3 linked regions of the Arabidopsis thaliana genome follow. The protein of the gene in region 2 interacts with the protein of the main gene of each other region in a pairwise test. Each region holds a gene or a part of one and is shown on either strand. Other genes may lie near its edges. The genes, in order: WAK3, AT3G01516 and AT2G27290.

Evidence for each region.
Region 1: the proteins of AT3G01516 (region 2) and WAK3 interact in a protein complementation assay, tested with the Arabidopsis thaliana proteins (one large-scale study listed by BioGRID).
Region 3: the proteins of AT3G01516 (region 2) and AT2G27290 interact in a protein complementation assay, tested with the Arabidopsis thaliana proteins (one large-scale study listed by BioGRID).

Annotation. Positions count from the first base shown.
Region 1 is NC_003070.9:7,431,900-7,438,583, reverse strand, and holds WAK3 (wall associated kinase 3), read right to left. Parts: upstream 4,350-6,684; 5' UTR 4,282-4,349; coding exon 3,405-4,281; intron 3,304-3,404; coding exon 3,145-3,303; intron 3,072-3,144; coding exon 1,882-3,071; 3' UTR 1,754-1,881; downstream 1-1,753. Other genes in the region: AT1G21245 (Protein kinase superfamily protein), read right to left, coding at 1,242-1,742; WAK5 (wall associated kinase 5), read right to left, coding at 6,238-6,684. UniProt on the Arabidopsis thaliana protein: Serine/threonine-protein kinase that may function as a signaling receptor of extracellular matrix component. Binding to pectin may have significance in the control of cell expansion, morphogenesis and development.
Region 2 is NC_003074.8:203,018-209,928, reverse strand, and holds AT3G01516 (uncharacterized protein), read right to left. Parts: upstream 4,616-6,911; 5' UTR 4,185-4,615; intron 3,434-4,184; exon of another isoform or gene 2,521-3,433; 5' UTR 2,504-2,520; coding exon 1,940-2,503; 3' UTR 1,709-1,939; downstream 1-1,708. Other genes in the region: AT3G01520 (Adenine nucleotide alpha hydrolases-like superfamily protein), read right to left, coding at 8-116, 451-569, 708-829, 1,246-1,423.
Region 3 is NC_003071.7:11,677,269-11,682,858, forward strand, and holds AT2G27290 (FAM210B-like protein, putative (DUF1279)), read right to left. Parts: upstream 2,652-5,590; 5' UTR 2,498-2,651; coding exon 2,261-2,497; intron 1,775-2,260; coding exon 1,577-1,774; intron 1,489-1,576; coding exon 1,318-1,488; 3' UTR 1,037-1,317; downstream 1-1,036. Other genes in the region: AT2G27285 (nuclear speckle splicing regulatory-like protein (DUF2040)), read right to left, coding at 261-383, 471-629; NTL8 (NTM1-like 8), read right to left, coding at 3,149-3,523, 3,910-4,107, 4,180-4,433, 4,507-4,687.

The sequences.
Region 1 (6,684 bases), on a different chromosome or scaffold from region 2:
GCTCATGTTAACTGAATAACTACGATAATGACGATGAAAACGGATTTTACATGTTTCTCCGGATCGTGGGACATTAGGGCATCTCCATTAGTTAGAGACTAACTAGGTCTATGACTAGAAAATACTCTTGTTTTTTGTAAAACTCTTCTTCTTTTTATTAAACGCAGGTACAAGACAAAAACTGATTCATCATTGCATAAATTGAGTAGTTACACGAAAAAGCAAAGTCTAAAGACATCATATCGATACATTGTCAGTGAGCTGGACAAAAACTCACTACTTTCCTCTCCCTTTGTCTAATTGAATCATATACACAAGTTGAAGTTCAGTCTTGGGACAGAGTAAATCACTTTTGCAGCATGCAACCAAAGGTAAAAGCATTACCAAACATACAAGTAAAAGTTAAAACTGAGAATTGAGATTCCTTTAATATTTGAGTCTGCACTTTCCCCAACTTTTATCTTCATCCACTGAAGTTGGTTCTAAGATAATTTTAGTCTGAATACGTGCTTGGTATTATTAGTAAGTCAATAAACATGAATTGGGGTAATCAAATGGAAGTAGACAACAAGTGATCATGCTTTGATTGGTGACTAACCTGCCAATAATCGTAGGATTGCTGACTAACACTTACTAAAAATCATATATTTTAACAAGAAACAAATTAAGAGATTTGATGTGATATACAATATCAAGCAATCTTATGCAACAAGAATGATGGGTTGTAGATGAGTAACGAAACATGATGACTCAAGCTGTAGATCAAATATGAAGTTTGCACCAAATGAGTCTTTTATTTTTTTAGTTTACCAAGCAACTAACAAAGAATCATATGGTTTGGTTTGAGGAAGCGGTATCTACGATGAACTCGACCAGGTGCTGAAGATTTCGATGATCATATTCATAGTATACTTACTCTCCTCTGTTTTTGACGCCTACTTTAAATTCTAGTGTTTTTTCTTCTCGAGTTGTTTTGTTTTTCTTTATAATTAAGCACAATGATATATTAATGTCGTATGGAATCATATTTATGAACTCTAGGTAGTTTTTCTAATACCTAATCAGCTACTGGTTAGCATATAAAAATATAGGAGAATTGTGAACATGAGTATATATGGATGATCTACAAGGATATCAATGTTTTTGAATGTCATGTTTTGATATTCTGGTTATGTTTATAAAGACAAAAGGAGATAAACAATAAAGAATTAAACAATATACTTTTTAACAAACAAAATTTATCAGCGGCCAGCTTCAATGTCAAGCAATGCTACATTCTTGACGCTGTCATAACCACGGCTATTGGTATCGCCTTGGGAAGACACGATGTTGCTACCAAGCAAGTGTAAATTCTCCTCTCGATACTGATCCGACCAATTATGTTTGGTTGTTTTGACGCTCAAAGTTTCTAGCTCTACAGCTACTTCTTTCATCCTTGGCCTTTCTTTTCCCATTAGCCTTGTACACTCTGCAGCAATTCTTGCAGCTTCCTGGATCTCCTTCAGATTATCCTCGTTCAACACTTGGTCGTCAATAATCTCATGCAACCTATTCTCTTCCGTGGCAGAAACAAAGTAACTCACCAAATGTTTTGAAGCCTGTGGCCGTTCAAAGCACAATGCCTTTTGACCTGAGAGCAGTTCCATGAGGACTACCCCAAAGCTATACACATCGCTCTTCTCGTTCAGAAGCCCTGTGGTATAGTATTCTGGGTCTAAATAGCCTAGAGTGCCTTGCACCATAGTATACCAAGTAAAGGAAAATATGAACATGATTATTGATGATGAACAAACAAGCTCTCAAAGCATATTGATGAAGCAACAAATAAGTGGTTTTCTTTTTTTACAAACAAAAGAGATACATGTGATTTTGTGAGCAATATCAGCGGCCAGTTTCAATGTCCAATATTGCTACATTTTTGATGCTATCATAGCCAATGCTGCTACTGGTTTCGCCTTGTGCAGACAAGATGTGACCACCAATCAAGTGTTCATTCTCCTCAGGATACTGATCCGACCACTTATGTTTGGTTTTCTCGACCCTCAAGGCTTCTAGCTTTGCAGCTACTTCTTTCATCCTTGGCCTTTCCTCTCCCATTAGCCTTGTACACTCTGCAGCAATTCTTGCAGCTTCCTGGATCTCCTTCAGATTATCCTCGTTCAACACTTGGTCGTCAATAATCTCATGCAACCTATTCTCTTCCGTGGCAGAAACAAAGTAACTCACCAAATGTTTTGAAGCCTGTGGCCGTTCAAAGCACAATGCCTTTTGACCTGAGAGCAGTTCCATGAGGACTACCCCAAAGCTATACACATCGCTCTTCTCGTTCAGAAGCCCTGTGGTATAGTATTCTGGGTCTAAATAGCCTAGAGTGCCTTGCACCATAGTTGTGAGCTGCTCTTTATCCATTGGTATAAGCTTAGAAGCGCCAAAGTCGGCTACTTTTGCAGTTAAGTTTTCATCCAAGAGAATATTTGCAGTTTTGATATCGCGATGGATGATTGGAATAGAAGCAGAGGAGTGAAGATAAGCAAGAGTTCCAGCGACTTCTATCGCTATTCTGAGGCGGTGTTCCCATGTAAGAGAAGAATCAAAAATGGAACCGTGCAAGTGATCGAAAAGGGTGCCATTGGTAATGAATTCATAGACCAACAAGGGGACTTCAGTCTCTAGACAGCAACCCAAGATCTTGACCACGTTCCTGTGGTTAATTTGTGAAAGCACGAGCACTTCGTGGATGAACTGATCTACTTGTCTACTGTCTGCAAGCCGAGCTTTCTTTATAGCAACGATAGTGTTGTCCGGCAATATCCCTTTGTAGACTGTTCCTTGACCTCCCTGGCCCAAGATTCTGCTCTCATCATAGCCATTAGTTGCCTCTTTCATGCCTTCCTCAGTAAAGATTTTGAAATCAATGTTTGACAACCCTGCTCCTGAAAGTCGCTGTATCAACATGCCACCACCATTTTGCTCAAAGAATTGTCGTCGGAGCTTGGTATACTTCCTTTGCTTCGTTGCATGTTGTATACAGATCGCAGCAAGCAGGAGGACCAAGACGCCGATTATGATTACTGATAACATCATGCATAGATGATTAGAGCGAGTTGATTTAAAGAGAATCTAGAACCAGTGAAGAGTGTTTACCAAGAAAAATTCGAGTCCGTTTGTATTCGGGCCTCGTGCAGCTCATACTGGAGTTTAAGTCGTAACCAGATGGACACTTACAATCGAAGCCTCCATCCCTGTTTCTACAGGTTTTTGGATCCGAACAGTTATGTGTATCACTAATACACTCATCGATGTCTGACCAAAGGAATAAGTGCACAAGATGCAACCAAAAACGTATGAGGAAGATTATAAACACTCAAAAGAAGAAAGAAAGCAAAGAAATTAATATGAAGTACCTTTGCAACCCTCTGAACGGTATGGATTCCCATCATAACCTTCATTACATTTGCAGATATACCCGTTTCTAGTAGTAGAATTGTAACATGAGCTGTTCTTACCGCATATTCTTGTGCTTCCAGCTTGCTCACATGTCTGGTTTCCAATAGACCAATCTAGTGCCACAGGGAACCTCGTGACATTCCTCAGATTCTTAAGATCTTTTGAAGAATCGAAGTTAAACTTACCATCTTCAACGAGAAAAGCGTAGGTGCAAGGATTAAACTGATATACCGAAGTATTAAATAGATCTAAGGAATTATTAACTTGGTTTCTCAAGCGAACTGAGCCAAATTGGAATGTATCGCTATCGAACGGGACAGAGAAGTCCTCTGTTGTGCAGCAACCTACACCATTACATCTTCCATTTGCCTCTGGTTGAGAATTGCATAATGACAAGCATCCAGTTGAGTAGTTTTGCTTTCCAAAAGTGCTCAAAAGTGATAAAGCGTTACATCCTACTAAAGTAAACTTGTTGTTGGAGGAGAGAGAGAAACTACTACCCAGCTGATACCCGAGGGCAGTTCCATTAGTCTCATTTTTCTGCTCGTAGCATTCAGAGAATCGTTCAAACAGTACACTTACATGGCCACTGTGAGAAATATTGGTCACTTGAATGATGCCAAAGAGTAGTAGCTTCTCTTCCACGACACAGGTGAGATTGAAATTATCATCTCCGGGATAGTAACAACCTGTAGAAATACCAAAAGGGTACTCTATTGTGACGTTTCCACATTTAAGTTTACAATCTTCGCGAGGTTGATGTTGCCCCTTCACAAGCTGAGTATATGCAAGGAAGAAAATAACCACCAAGAACACACCCTCCTGGAACTTCATCTTCTACCTTTCTCTTTCTTTCTCTCTAAACTTGTTTCTCTTTGAGTTTTCTCTCATCGCTTATTCGCTTCTTATAGCTTGAAAAGTAACCCCTGATTTGACATTGTTGAATAATCAAATGTGAAGAAAAGTAAAGATTCAGACTACTAGACGTTAGAAAAATATAAATGCGTCAACTTCTTTATCTGTCCTTTCTTTCTTGTCTTGATTTTTCCAGGAAACTCCAATTTATTGTTCATATATGAAAGTCTCGTTATAGTGACAATGTAGGAATAAGACTCATCATGATCACAACATGCTCTGTTTTCTTCTGCTGTCGTAATAGTAGAAATATGTAGTTTTTTTGTGTGTGTGTGTGTGTTGAGTTTATAAATGTCAACAAGTTTTCGAAGAATTTGAATAGTTCTTGCCTCATGTGTCATGTCGCTGCTTACTCTTCAAGAGGTTATCTATGAGAAATTTCCATGCAAATCCACCACTTTGTTAGAAACTGAATCTCCTTCTAGAAACAGAACAGAGTTAAGAACAGAGAAAGAGAATCAGACTTTGTATCACAATTGGTTTGATCGTCAACATAACAATAAAGAGAAGAACTTGTCTTTCTATTATAGAGAAAGTGAAATACAACAACTGTTTTACAAGGTTTACAACAATTAACTTAAATACAAACCAACAGACATGAAAAGTCAAGAGTTATGACTCTTCTTTCTTGTGACACAACAAACATAACTACTTTAACTTAACAGACACGACACTTAAGTAATATATTACAAACCAAACTCAATTACGACCAGCACTCTTTCACCGAAAGAAACCAGATTCATTCAAAGAAACTGAGGGAAAATCTTGAGAAAAAACTGAAAATACACTGTTTGATGATTAAAATAATCTTTGACAGACCAGACTTAGAGATTTTAAGGGTATAGTAGAGGTAGCTTTCTCAATTTACTAAAGATCAGAGTTTTAACAAAAAAGGAAAATTTGATGGTTACAAAACCACAACAATCTTATGCAGCAAGAATGATAATTTAATTTAGAAAACGCAGTATTAAAATTTTAATAACAGAGCAATATATGAGTCAAGTTGTTTATCAAATAGTCAAGTTGTTCTTTCATACTTTCAAAGCCTTGTATCAAAAACGTTATTTTTCTTGAATATAATTTAACATTACATTCAAAAAAAAAAAAAAAAAAAAAATGTCAAGTTGTTCTTTTGGAGTTACGTACATACCACGCATCTTAAGTTAGAGATTTCTCGTTTACTAGTTTTTACTTCTCATGTAGTTGTGCATATGTTTGTTTATTACTGATCTAATTCCAAAATCATATGTTAACTTGTTTACATTTTTGTCTTCGTCTTGTTGCTCGTGGATATATATAATTGCATCTTTGTAATCATTTCATCATAATATCGATCACGTTGACGGAGAGTGCTTTTCTAGAATCCACCAAATTTTCTCATGTTTTCACTATATATATTACTTATGGTTAAAGATCATAAATTTTTAACAAAATAAGAAAACTTGATGGCTTCAAAACCAGAGCAATCTTATGCAGCAAGAATGATTTTGTTAATTTAGAAAACGCAGTATTAAATTATAGATGCCAGTACCAAAACAATATATGAGTCAAGCTGTGGATCAAATAGGATGTTTTAAGCAACTGAGCCCTTTAAATTCGAGTTATTGTTTTGCAACCACAACAGTATATCAATATCTCTGCTAGTAGATTCATGAATTCTTAATTTTTCTCATACCGAATCGTCTACTGGTTAGCTTACCAATCGAATGGAGTTATAAAATGAATAATTGATGATCTACAACGGATCTCTCGAGCATAAATGTTCTTGAATATCATGTTTTGATACTCTGTTTTTTTTGAAGTGTTAGGAAACATATAGGACATAAGCAATAAATAAGTGGCTTTACTTTTTCACAAACAAAAGATTGATAAATATCAGCGGCCAGTTTCAATGTCCAACCTTGTTACATTCTGGATGCTGTCATAGCCAATGCTACTGGTATCACCTTGCGTCGATAAGATTTGAACACCAAGCAAATGCTCAACCTCCTTGGGATATTGATCTGACCACTGATGTTTGGTTGTTTTGACTCTCAAGGCCTCTAACTCTGCAGCTACTTCTTTCATACTTGGCCTTTCCTCTCCCATAATTCTTGTACACTCAACAGCAATTCTTGCAGATTCCTGGATCTCCCTCTGATTATACTCGTTCATAACTTGACCGTCAATAATCTCATGCAACCTATTTTCTTTCATGGCAGAAACAAAGTAACTCACTAGATGTTTTGAGCTTTGTGGCCGTTCAAAGCATAATGCCTTTTCACCTGAGAGCAGTTCCATGAGGACTACCCCAAAGCTATAAACATCGCTCTTTTCGTTCAG
Region 2 (6,911 bases):
TTATTGTTTAGTCATCAGCTGGATCACTGGGAGTTTCATCGGCATTGCGTTTGATCGTCATAACTGGACACTCCGCATGTTTCACACAGAACGCACTCACAGTCCCCACAAAGACCCTGCAAAGCAAACCCATGTTATAACAAAACCCATCACGATTCAAAACAACAGCAATAGTAGTAACTTAGACTCTATAGTTTCAAGTTATGCCTGGCTCAATGTTTGTATAACTTAGAATGACAATTCCTTTGTTTGGCTCTGTTCCTGCCCCGTCTTGAACTAAATCTATTTAACTCAAACTTGTGTCAAGATCAAGAATCCTACCTATCTGTAATCCTTTATAGCAGTTAAAGTCTGATTGCTATTCATCATTCAGTCTAATAACTAGTTGATGATATATAGGGGTAAAGTAATGACTAATAAGTCATGAATGTGTTTGAGTATTATACGCACTTTTGAAACCGGCCAAGTCCACGACTTCCCACGACCAGAAAATCTGGTCGAACTCGCTTCACTTCTTGGCATATGACATCCTTGGGATCACCTGTCTTAATCCAGGCCTCGCAACCAACCTACAAGTTTTGCACAGCTAGAATTTAATCATAAAACATCACAAAGTTACAGTAGTTGCAATGAGATACAAAACAAAGAAGTTCATAGACACAGCGGAGGATAACTTGATTTGAGCTAAAAAGAGAGAGTGTGTTTACCCCAATCTCATGACATTTATTAACGAAAAACTCGAGAAGGTGAAGACCTTTTGCCTTGTTAGATTGTCTCATGTCTCGGAAATCCTCAGGGGAAGCATAAATGCTATCCACGTCATCAAAACCTGGTTTCCAAGTCACAAACAAAACAGGCCTTAATAACACCACAAGAGAGAAACTAAGCAAAACACATTGTTCTGACTCAAAGCGAGAAACAGAACAAAACAAATATCACGAAAGAGTCATCTCCTCTTCTAAACATATAACCGAGAAAAGTCCAATACAAGCTAACACATCCTCTTCAAATGTAACATCAAAATCCGAACAAAAGTTTGTCCAGAAGAGATAATCTCAACGACCAACCGACACTACTAGTAACAAAAAAGCACAGTCGATCCTTCTCGGTCAAAACTCAGAGACATATGCAGACCGATCTATATATACGACATCATCGTCCAAAACTAAGATCATGATTTCCCACAAACAGACATACGCACGAACATATTCAAAGATAAATAAATATTTAAGGAGAGAGAAGAACCGTCTTCGTCGACGACTTGTACGTGGAGCAAGAGAATCTTGAAATCGGAAGTGTTGGACCTTACGATCTTCTCCAGAGTCCATTCGAATGCTCTTTTGCAGCTAATCGAAGGGTTAGGATAGTCTTTGATCGTCGAAGCGTTCACCGCCACCATCACTTTTGTTGGCTCGCTCCCCATTTTTCGCCAAATCTTCGTATCTCTGCTCCAATTCTCGGATGATGACGATGAAGCTCTTAAGGAAAACAATCTTGCTCAGTTGGGGGAAGAAGACAAAGAACCCTTCGCCCACGACGTGTCTATGCGTCTTTTAGCAAATGAATTTCATAAGCATGCTAAAATGCGCAGGTTTTTTCTGTTACAGGACAGCTAGCTACGCCTACCAAGTTCTATCGTAAATGTCCTAAACTACCCTTTAATGCGGTTCATGTGAAAGCCCTTTAACAAGGGCCCAAATGTATATTAGCCCATTTCTATAATATAATGTACTCTCTTATTTCACAAATACTTTTTGTTTCCTTAATCCTTATGAGTTACATGTTGCACTAAAACCTCTATAAATTAATACTTGTGTAATCTTTTTTTTTTTTTCTATGCATACTTGTGGAATCTTACTTGCTGCACTAAAGAATTTCACAAAATCTATTTTTAGTTTTGGTAATCATATACGCCTAATAATTAAAAGTTCATCTATTATCATTGATGAATGCCAGTGAAGGAGACTCTACCAAAGCCAAGATGCCCAATCTGATACAACTCTAACCAAACTCTCTCTGCTTCCACTCTCGCACTTATTCTCGTCTCTTCCTCTTCTTTTAACGACGCCGTTTTGGCTTCCTCTTTGGTCAAACTCCCGTCTCTTTCCACCACAAACCGATGGTCATCGAACTCTCCATCTCCATCTCCGCCACCGCAACATCCACCACTCACCATCTCGGCCGACCTCCTGTGGTGGTGATGGTGATGAAACCGATCCTCACGGTTGATTTTCTTCATCCGCTTCTTACTCGGGCCACCACGGCCGATACATTTCCGGCCTATCATCCACGGGACCTTAACAAAGGCGAGAGTGAAGATGTTCACCACGGCGCAGGGACAACAGCAGAGCGCCACGCAGTCAGCGATCGCCGCCGCCGCCCAAGACCGGCACCTTTTCCCGGAGCATCTGGCTCTCGGCTCTTCATCGGCTCCTTGACTCCAGTGGGATCCACTCTGGTCTTTACGTGAAACTCGATGCGACTTTTGGTTTTCCTCCTCCATTTTAAAATTTTATATACCTGCCAAAAAAATAGAGAAAGAGAACAAAGCTTACTAACTTATATAAATACATCACACTCCTATATGCATTCACATATACAGATTTTTGTCCATATATATATGTAACATGTTGATGGTAAAAAGAGAGATATATAGGAAACAGCAACCAAGATTTTTCCCATGCACTTTAACTTATTGACCAGACAGTTTCAGGTGCATTCAAACCCCACTCACGCTCCCACTTTGGCGCGTGTAAACCACATACGCTGACTCACGTTTTTCGAATTTTTTTTGCGTCGACTAGAATTTTGTCCTAGTGCTTTTTTATGTCCCAATGTCACGATTTTGTCTATTTCAATTTTCAAATTGAGATTGGTTTGATCAGGTGGCGAATGAGAGGATTTGAACGAGCGCGTGGGATATGAATCTGAATCTTTTTTGTTGGCTAGGGGAATTAATATTATTTTTAGTGGAGTTTTGCATATTTTATTTTTGGCTCTTTATGGTAAAATCTGATGGTAACGTACATTTTTTTATTTTACATAGTCCCTCCCTATAGCTTTTTTCAAAACTTTAATTTTCAGCCTAAAATTTAAGGCTACAAGAGTAAAAGAAAACTTGTAATAAAATTAAGAGACGGTCTTATTGTTAAAATAATGAGATATCAGTGAGATAACGTGGACTATAGTGCGGGAGATCATATATCTCACATGGGTTTGCCGGGTCTTAGCATGGCCCAATTACGTGGCCCATTACAAATCTACAGCTAAATAATATACAATGCAAAACAAAACAAAAATATTTTTAAAAATATATATTATTTTATTGTTATTAATTAATGTGACAAAAGAAACAAGGTCTACAATAGTAATAATAATCTAGTAGGATTCCCTAGGATTTTAAAACGATTAGATTTGTAATAATGATTTTTCTTTTATTTGTCAAAACATTGTAATGATTTATAATATGTGACAGCATTAACAAGAAGAATAAGTATTTTGAAAATATATATAAAACGGTTTATTTTTCGATATGTTACTAACAAAAAGAAATTTAAGGGTAAACGTACGATTGACCCTTTTTCACTTGTATAAGGTAATCGTACACATTAAAGCCTAGTCAAAATTCAAATTTTGATCTGCGTTGTAGAATTAATAAGACTGACGTATGTATATAGTACGAAGCCAATACAGTTTGTATATATATATATAGATAGATATATATCGTCATTTTGTTTTGTCGAAGGAGAACTTGATGCAAAAATCAACATTGACACACCGGACAAACGTAAGATAGTGCACACTATATATTCTGTGTAGTCTATATAAAGAAAAAAAAACACAAACTGCCCATTTGATTTATGGTGAGACACTCTTATGCATAGCTAGATGAAACACTATATGTTTAACTAGGTGTAACATATAACAAAACGTGTAATATGTAAGTTTGAACCCGAAAATTATCATAAATCTTATTCTTATAAATTGAAACGCCTATTTAACGGAGAATTCAAAATGTATTTTGTGCAACTACTAACTAAACTAGATTATCTATCAAAGTTTAGTTATAAATATATATATATATATAAAAAAGTCTCAAAAAAAATCATCCATTTTAGCATTTAAATATGATAAGGATCTAAGCGAGACAACAAGCAATGGAGAATGATCAAATGGTTACATACCTTTGTTTTCTTGTCGACTAATTAATTAACCTACTCAAAAGCCACAGATCCTGTATTCCTTTTTGAAACTCTTCTCTGCATGGAGAGAACAACAACAAAAACCCAGATTTGTTATCGTGGTCTATAGTAAAAGTTTCTGTTTTAAATTGATGTTCTAATGAGCTTGAGAAGAGAAAGAGAAGAAGAAGCTCGTAACAACCAAAAAGATCAAGAAAGAAGAAGAAGAAGAAGAAGAAGAAAGATGTGATCTGATCTATAAATACACATTATATTATATCTTCGATTAATTAGAGCTTCTCTTTTCTATGTTTATCTTTTGAAAATCATTTCTCTCTCTCTCTCTCTGGTCTCATGAGCATACACTATACAGACTAATATGTATAATGGTCTGACATGAATATTTTAATCCAGTTAGAGCAGCTACAAAAGCTCTCTTAAAGCATCAATATTCTACACATATGAACATATACCTATATATCATGTGAATTTAGTAGATAAATATCCTCCGAAAGATAAAAATTATTATTTTTTTAAGTACAACTAATGAGTAGTAATTTTATGAAATTTACAGTTAAAATTTCTTAAACAATTCAGATTAAAATCCTCAAGTGGGTACCGGGTATAAAACAATACAAAATTACATAATACAGTAATTAGTTGGAAACGGGTTTACAGGAAATATCGTAACTTTGTGTTTGATGAGTCCCGAAGACAGAGAGAATCAACTTATGGGAACTCGGCCCCTGATCATGTGCATTCCTATGCAATTCGTTCTTTATTCTTTTTTTTTTTTTTTTCTATATAAACAATTGATAAACGAACTAAAAGACCCCCTCTTTTGAACAATTTACAATTTATAGTAACATGACACTCCAAATTACTCTCTTTAAATTAGTCTCATATATAGTAAAAACTGAACTTTATGTGAGCCACTTGGATATTTTTATATGTAGAATGATCATATATGTCAACGAGATTAGTAGGAGTATTTAGGAGTTCTAAAAATTTAATATGGATTTTATGTACTTGCGCATAACTTTACGTAGACTAAATAAACAGTTTCTCAAATTAACTGTATTATTTGTCGTGGTTTTCAAAATCTGTAATAAGCAGCGGCGTTGACGCCTTTTTCCCTCTTATGTTTGCTGCCTTTAGAAGCACTTTGCTTGAGCCCATGCACGTGCGATGCTGCGAAGAATCACGTGCGCCGGGCTCAAAGGCCGCCACGTCGATGCTCCTCTTTAATTCTTTAGGTAACAAAGTTTTCACCGTCCAACTGTCAGTATGTCAGTGACACGTACGCACACACCCAACGGTCTTCTTGCAACAAGAGTCGCGTTCTCATTCTGCTGCGTTTGCGTCACTGACCGCAATATCTTCTTCCGTTTTGGACACAGAGTATGTAATGTAATGACACGTTCTCCTTTTTTGGTTGACTTTAAGAAGTCAACGGCGTTAGCTGTACGTGTGTTGTGGACCGCATTTGGATAACCCGTAATACAAGTAATTTTATTAATCACGGACAATATACTATAATGCAACTAGTCGATCTTTGTCAAATTACTGGTTTTGATATGTGTGACACTAATATGTTCATAACTTCATATATACGCGTTCCACGGCCGGTGACGGACTCCATTATGAATATTCTTCTTAAATTTAAACTTATATGCATTGGACCAGAAGATGCATGTTGACAAAAGAAAGTGATCAGAAAGCATAGAAGAGACCAAATAAGTTGGTTTAGTCGAATACGTATTCAATTCATGTTAAAAAAAAAAATCAAATATACAAATATAATCATTGTCATGATTAATCACACATGAGAAAATTGATATTTGATAGCACAAAACATCCCCATTTCTGCATTTCTGGTTTTTGTTGGTTCTTCTGTTAAACTCTTAATGCTTAAAGCAAATATGGAGATGTTGATCTGATTTAATTAGTAGTAACCCGAAACTGCGAAGAATTAGCTCCGGAGAAGGCCGGCCCTGAATTTGGGCAAATTTGGGCTTGATTAGGCTACAAATAGTATGTTCAAACTCGAACTGAAAACATTAATTAGACTCTATTAAAAAATGACTATGGTTAAGCTGCCAACTCATTGCTCCACATGAAATTGAGAAATGTAACATGGAGATCGATCTTTATATAATATTTAGTGATAATTAAAAGAAGCAATCTTTGGATTATTCTTCGAAGAATATGACAGATTACAATTCCAACAGCAATGTTTAATTTATATGGCAGAACATGCCAATATGGACTTCAATGTTGCTATTCGTTGGGAAATGGATATTGGCATGTGGTACAATTATTTAATCATGCTTGTTTCTATGCCTAATTTTATCAAATAAGAATGTTAATTTGGCCTTGAGTCATTTGTCAGGGAGATTTTAGTGCCGACGGGTTCAAAAGACAATATGTTTATTGCAAAGTTGTTATAGCAAGGTTCGGAAAAGTCATTTATAAATTCGCTAAAAGTTGCGTTTGATTAAATTATGCTTATTTTGTTTAATCTTAGAGGATAACAACTATTGGACTCCTAGTGAAAGTGAAACATATGATAACTAATTTATTTTAGTTATTTTGACTAATCATTTGTTTGTAACTGTTAAACTTGGAAATTATTCAGCAAAAAAACATTTCTTGTATTTGCAAAGTCACAGAATATGATGAATAGGTTTTATTATAATAGAATAAATCACGAGTTCACACAATTCTTTA
Region 3 (5,590 bases), on a different chromosome or scaffold from region 2:
GCTTTACACTTTTTGGTAACTATATGTAGCCATGGGTTATAGGCTGGTAGTTGTTAGGGTATTGCAGGATATCAAGATTTTGGTGGTTTCTAAGGGTAATAAGAAAATCCAGCTAAGTTATGGCTTCCTATACTTCAATCATATGATAAACCAAGCCCGACACAGATCATAGATTCCTCTTAAGAACATGGAAACATAGATTTTGATTCCCTAAGCTACAGAAGCTTCAAGTCTTAAGCTCTCTAAGAGATAAACATTACCTTGCGTTCTTCACGATCTTGCATTCGAGGAAGAACAGCTTTCTGTTTCATATCATCATAAACTTCATCATATGAAAAAGCAGAAGGATCCTCCTCTAAGGCTTTCTTATGCTGCTCCTCAATCTAAAACACACAATCACTTATCAAGCAGATCAAATTGAAGGAAATATAAGAAACAAGAACTCGAGTCAGTGGAGGAAAAAAGCTTACTTCTTTATGAGCTTTGGTCTTTGTTGCTTGACGAGAAATCTCCTTCTCGACGTCGTGATCTTCTTCTTCATCAAATATTGAAGCGGGTCGAAGTGGAGGTCGAGATGATGATTGTTTTTTCTGGGAAGGAGCTCTGATTTGCAATCCGTACTTCTTCATCTTCGATTTCTATTCCAGGAGCAACAAACTTCTGCAAAATCGATTGAAAATTAGCGCAATTCCTGCGAAGTCCCAGATTCTGGAAAAACACTAATCAAACCCAAGCATGAAATAGGTAGATTTCGCTGTAGAATCGATTAGGGTTACAATTCACAAAAGTTGATTGGTGTGATTTTCCCAGGATTAAGGAATTTAGTAATCCATGGAAGAAAGTGAAAGAGGAAGGGAGGAGATAAAAAGATCCAATTAACTATAGATGGTATAGATGATTACGGCCCAATTGTTACGGCCCAATGTTTTCATATTTTGATGGGCCGAGATAATGAGGTTCTAGAGTACAAGTTAAAATGCATCACCAAAACGATCGAGGTCATATGCTCTGGATCACAGAGATCATTCCCAACCATTTGACAACTACTTCTCCCACTTACCAAATGTCTAGAGGTTAGTGAATCGTGAAGTCGTAATTTCCAACCAACCACATATTAAATAGACAAGTCTAAAACTATATCACAACTTGGATTCTGCCACTCTTTGGTTCTGTATCTTTCTAACTCATCATCATATTCAGATATGCTTCAATCTTTTTTGTACATACAAGGTAGAGAAGTGAGGATTGTACAGGATTATGTATGTTGATTATCAAGTAATATATAGAACATCTACATTATAATACCTCCAAAGTAAGCTACTTGTCATCATCCTTCTCCTTGTCCACTTTCTTCCCAATCCAATTGGCTACAATAGGAGTCAAAGCCACTGTAGGCGGAAACCTTATCGGAGATGCAGCTTTATGCGCTGCGTAAGCCAAAGCAAAGGCTCCTACTTTCTCTCCTGTCTCATTCGTCGAAATCCCAACCTTAAACACAAAACATCAAAATCAGCTTTACTCAACCCAAGATCAAGAAAACATAAACTTAGTATGATCAAGAAGTGAAAGTAGTAACCTTTAGAAGAAGAGCTTGAACATCAACACCGGAAGTCACAAGGACATAGCAGAGTGAGAAGGAAATGAGAGAAAGAGTAATAGATGTAGCGAGATAAGCACCACCATACTTTGCAAGTAACTCTTTAGCCTCATCTGTTTTTGATTTCTTCTTCTTATTGTCTCCATCACTTCCTTCATCATCCTTAGAGCTTAATATCTAATCACAAGTCCATCCAAAACACCATTTTACTACACAAAAACTTCCATAGATTCTACAACTTCCAAAAATGCTCCAAACTAACCAATCACATATGCTCACTTGTTGATAAAAAAAAACACCATTTTAGCATAGTTAAAAGCTTACATAACTTCTACAACTACCACGAAAACGATCATATCTACTCACATAATCATCTAAACACCATTTTAGTACCCTTAGAAGCTTCCATAGCTTCAACAACTACAAAATTGCTCACATAATCATACAAAACACCATTTTAGTTACACTTAAAGCTTCAATAGCTTCTACTAATACCAAAATTGCTCTGAATTAGCCTATCATTCAGCTCAGAAACAATCATATGTCCTCACATGTTCATCCAAAAACACTATTTTACTTACACTTAAAGCTTCCATAGCGATAGAATCATCAATTTTAGATTACGAATTAAAACGAGAAATTGCGCAATCGAATTGATTTTACCTTCCATAGACCAACTTCAAGGCCATATTTCTTGGTAACTTCTTCGGCGGAAGGAGGAGGAGGAGAAGAAGACGGCGGCGAAATGTTCTTATCAATGTCCTCCGCCTTCTCACGGACGGCTCTGCATCTGAATTTCTTCGAGGAAGCTGAAACTGAAGAGTGGAAGAATCGGATTTGAAGGTTTCTGGTGTTCAACAAGGAAGACGAAGGAGGAATTTGCAGAAGCATCATCGCCATTGTTTTTTTCAGCCACCAAAAAAAACAGAAAGCAAATCTTTTCACCTTATTATTTTTATTTATTGTATGACACACAATTATTTTTTATTTTTTTCTGAAGGTATACCATTTGTTGTATTAGAGGTTCCAGAGTAATCTTTTACATATATAAAACTTTAATATAGTATAAAAAATCCATAAGTAAGAAAAATATTTTTAGACTATTTTATAAATATAAAAAACTACAAACAACATTTGTTTGATTCTCAGGCGTTTATATTTTGAACTGAAACTTTTGTATATCTAAACATAGTCTAAAATAATTTATTTTACTTATGGATTTTGTATAATTTATTACAATTGTATATAACTAAGAATATCACTTTGCAATCTCTAATACAACAAACAGCAAAACTTAAGGAAATGGTGGTATTATTCACATTTACTATATGTGAAATTTGTTGTCTCTATTTTCACGGAACTATCATCTCTTTCCCAAAGCTTTCACCCAGATTATAAAGGTTTACTATCCGAAAATATTCTCTTTTCCATAAAAATTTTGGTTTGTACACAAGTTTGAATAATTGTTAAGACTAGCTCAACATGCCATATTGCCATAGACCAAATACTATATTTATTTATGTATAAATAATATGTATGTCGTAACTAGCTTTAGTTCCTAGCTATTAATACAGTCCAAAAGAAAGAAAATAAGATAGCCAAGAAAACAGTAGTGGCCAGAACATTCTTCATCAATCTCTGGCTATCATCTTTCTTGATTTTGAACGGGTTCGGGAATCTCCAGCTGGAGTCGGTTCCGGCAACGTTCTTGATCCTGAACAAAGCGTAACAATTCATTGTTTCCGTTGATTCTTTTTTTATACCACATTTTGACCTCTTACTCGATGACTCGCTTGATATTGTTTCTTGATGAGTTGGATTAGTTGGTCGAAACGCTTGGCTAGCTTTCAACGCTTCTTCGTCGAGCTTTATTATATCATCGTTCAGAATCTCGGCGTAACAATCATCATCGGTATCGGCCTGATCCTGCATCGCAATAGAAAGAGATCAACTTCAGTTACAAACTCTAAACTCTACCAGTACAAGAAAACTAAGGATGTTCAGCCCAAGTGTTGGTTTAGTCTATTGAGTTATAATATTAGTAGCCAAAATAAAAACCAAACATTGGATATATTGGTTTGTTACGTTTTAAGTTTAGAATCTGCTTTAGTAAAATAACAACTTTAGTGAAATCTAATGTACTATGAATCCGTTATAGTATGGTACTATGGTGTTGGTTTGGTTTTAGTTTCTTAATCGGTTCTGTTTTCGGAACTATATTGAATTTAATGTGGTTTCGATTAAGATTGGAGCGGATAATTTTACCAGTATTAAACATCGTTAAAAGACACATTCCTCAAAAGCAAGCTGACCTCAACAACATTTGATGATTCTGCGATGTCACCATTTGGTATCTGATGCTCAGATTCATAGTAGGATTTGTCCTCCTTCTCCAAACCACCTCTTTGGCCAACGTAGCCATCGTCTTGCACAACACCATCCTCCATTTTTTGGGTCGAACTAGCCCGAAAATCAGCATTTTTTCTTAACCGGCACACCACTAATGCATCCTGTGAAATCCAAATTTCAATATATCTCAAAACATTAAAACTCAACCTATTCAAAATGAAAGTTTTAAGAACCTGTGGGGCTCCATGGATGCAGTATTCATGCATAATCCACTCCGTTCTCTCGCCACGAGGAGCCCGACCGATATGAAATACAAGCGTTCTCTTGGTTCCAACAACTTGGTTCCCGGATTTAACACTCCGCTCTTTACCGGTCGCTTTCCAATATCCTAGCTGTGTGGCTCGCCGGCTTTGTGACCCGTGCGGGTACTTCCTCCCCCTCGCGCAGAAGTAAAACCACTCGTTCTCCGATTTCAGTTTCGATTCCTCTGTTTTATAGGCACAAACATTCAAATTAGTGAACCAAAGTAAACATAAAGAGAAAGAAAACCGAAGTAAAACCTGGCAAGTCCCACGGCTCGAACTTGTAAATCTCGACCTCAGCAATCACAGCAACAGAGTTCTCATCACCATCGATTTTACGACGAAGATAGTACGAGATAAGTTCAACATCAGTAGGAGAGAATCTAAAACCAGGGAACAAAGCCGACACCGCGATCGACATCTCAGCTTCTTTAGACATTGTTTGATCTTTTTGGCTCAGGAACTCGAAAATACTTTGCTTTAGATGAAGAAACATGCCTTATAAATGGCAAGTGTGCAGCTACTTTGCTTCGGGTAAAGGTTTTGTGTTTTTTGATATTTGGCGGCTTCAGAGGGAAAAAGGATGACGTGGACAATGACTGTAAGAATTGGGCGAATAACAGAAGAGTGTAATGAGATAGTAAAGGACAAAAATGATAACGTGGTTATGTATTATTGGACAGAACTCAAACCCAGCTCTGAAGTTCTCTCATTGATGCTTAATAAATCGTCTCTTCATTTTTAAACACGTGTTTCGATATCTTCCTCGGTGTTTGTACCCCGCATGCCAATAAGTTTTTGTTTTTGTTTTTTTGGGTGTAATAACTTATCAAAATGAATTTTTGTTTTTGACGGCAATCAAAATGAATTTAAATCACTTTGTAATTATTTTATTATCTTGCGCCAAGATATTTTCTTTTGTGTAATACAAGTTTTATATGAATCTATTTTATTATTTTTTTGTCGATGAATCTATTTTATTAAATACATTATATTTTTTTATTGCAATTTCTAATCTATTACTTTATTAGCTTACGTCATCATTAACGTTTTAGTTATTTTTAAAATATATAATAAAATCAATAAAATCATATCCTAACTAAACTATATATCCAAATTTGTATCCGTGTAACTTTCTCTAAACTAGTTTTATGTCCTCTAAGCTCATATTGGAACTTATTTGCTTCGAAAGATGGGTGATTAATCTAAACGTGATGGATATAAATTTTAGTGTTCACGTAAGATGATTATGGTTACGGTTATTACGGGTACGGTTTATTAACCATCAGTTACAGTTATAAAATTTTTTAACCTTAACTTTAACCACTATCTATGATTAAAA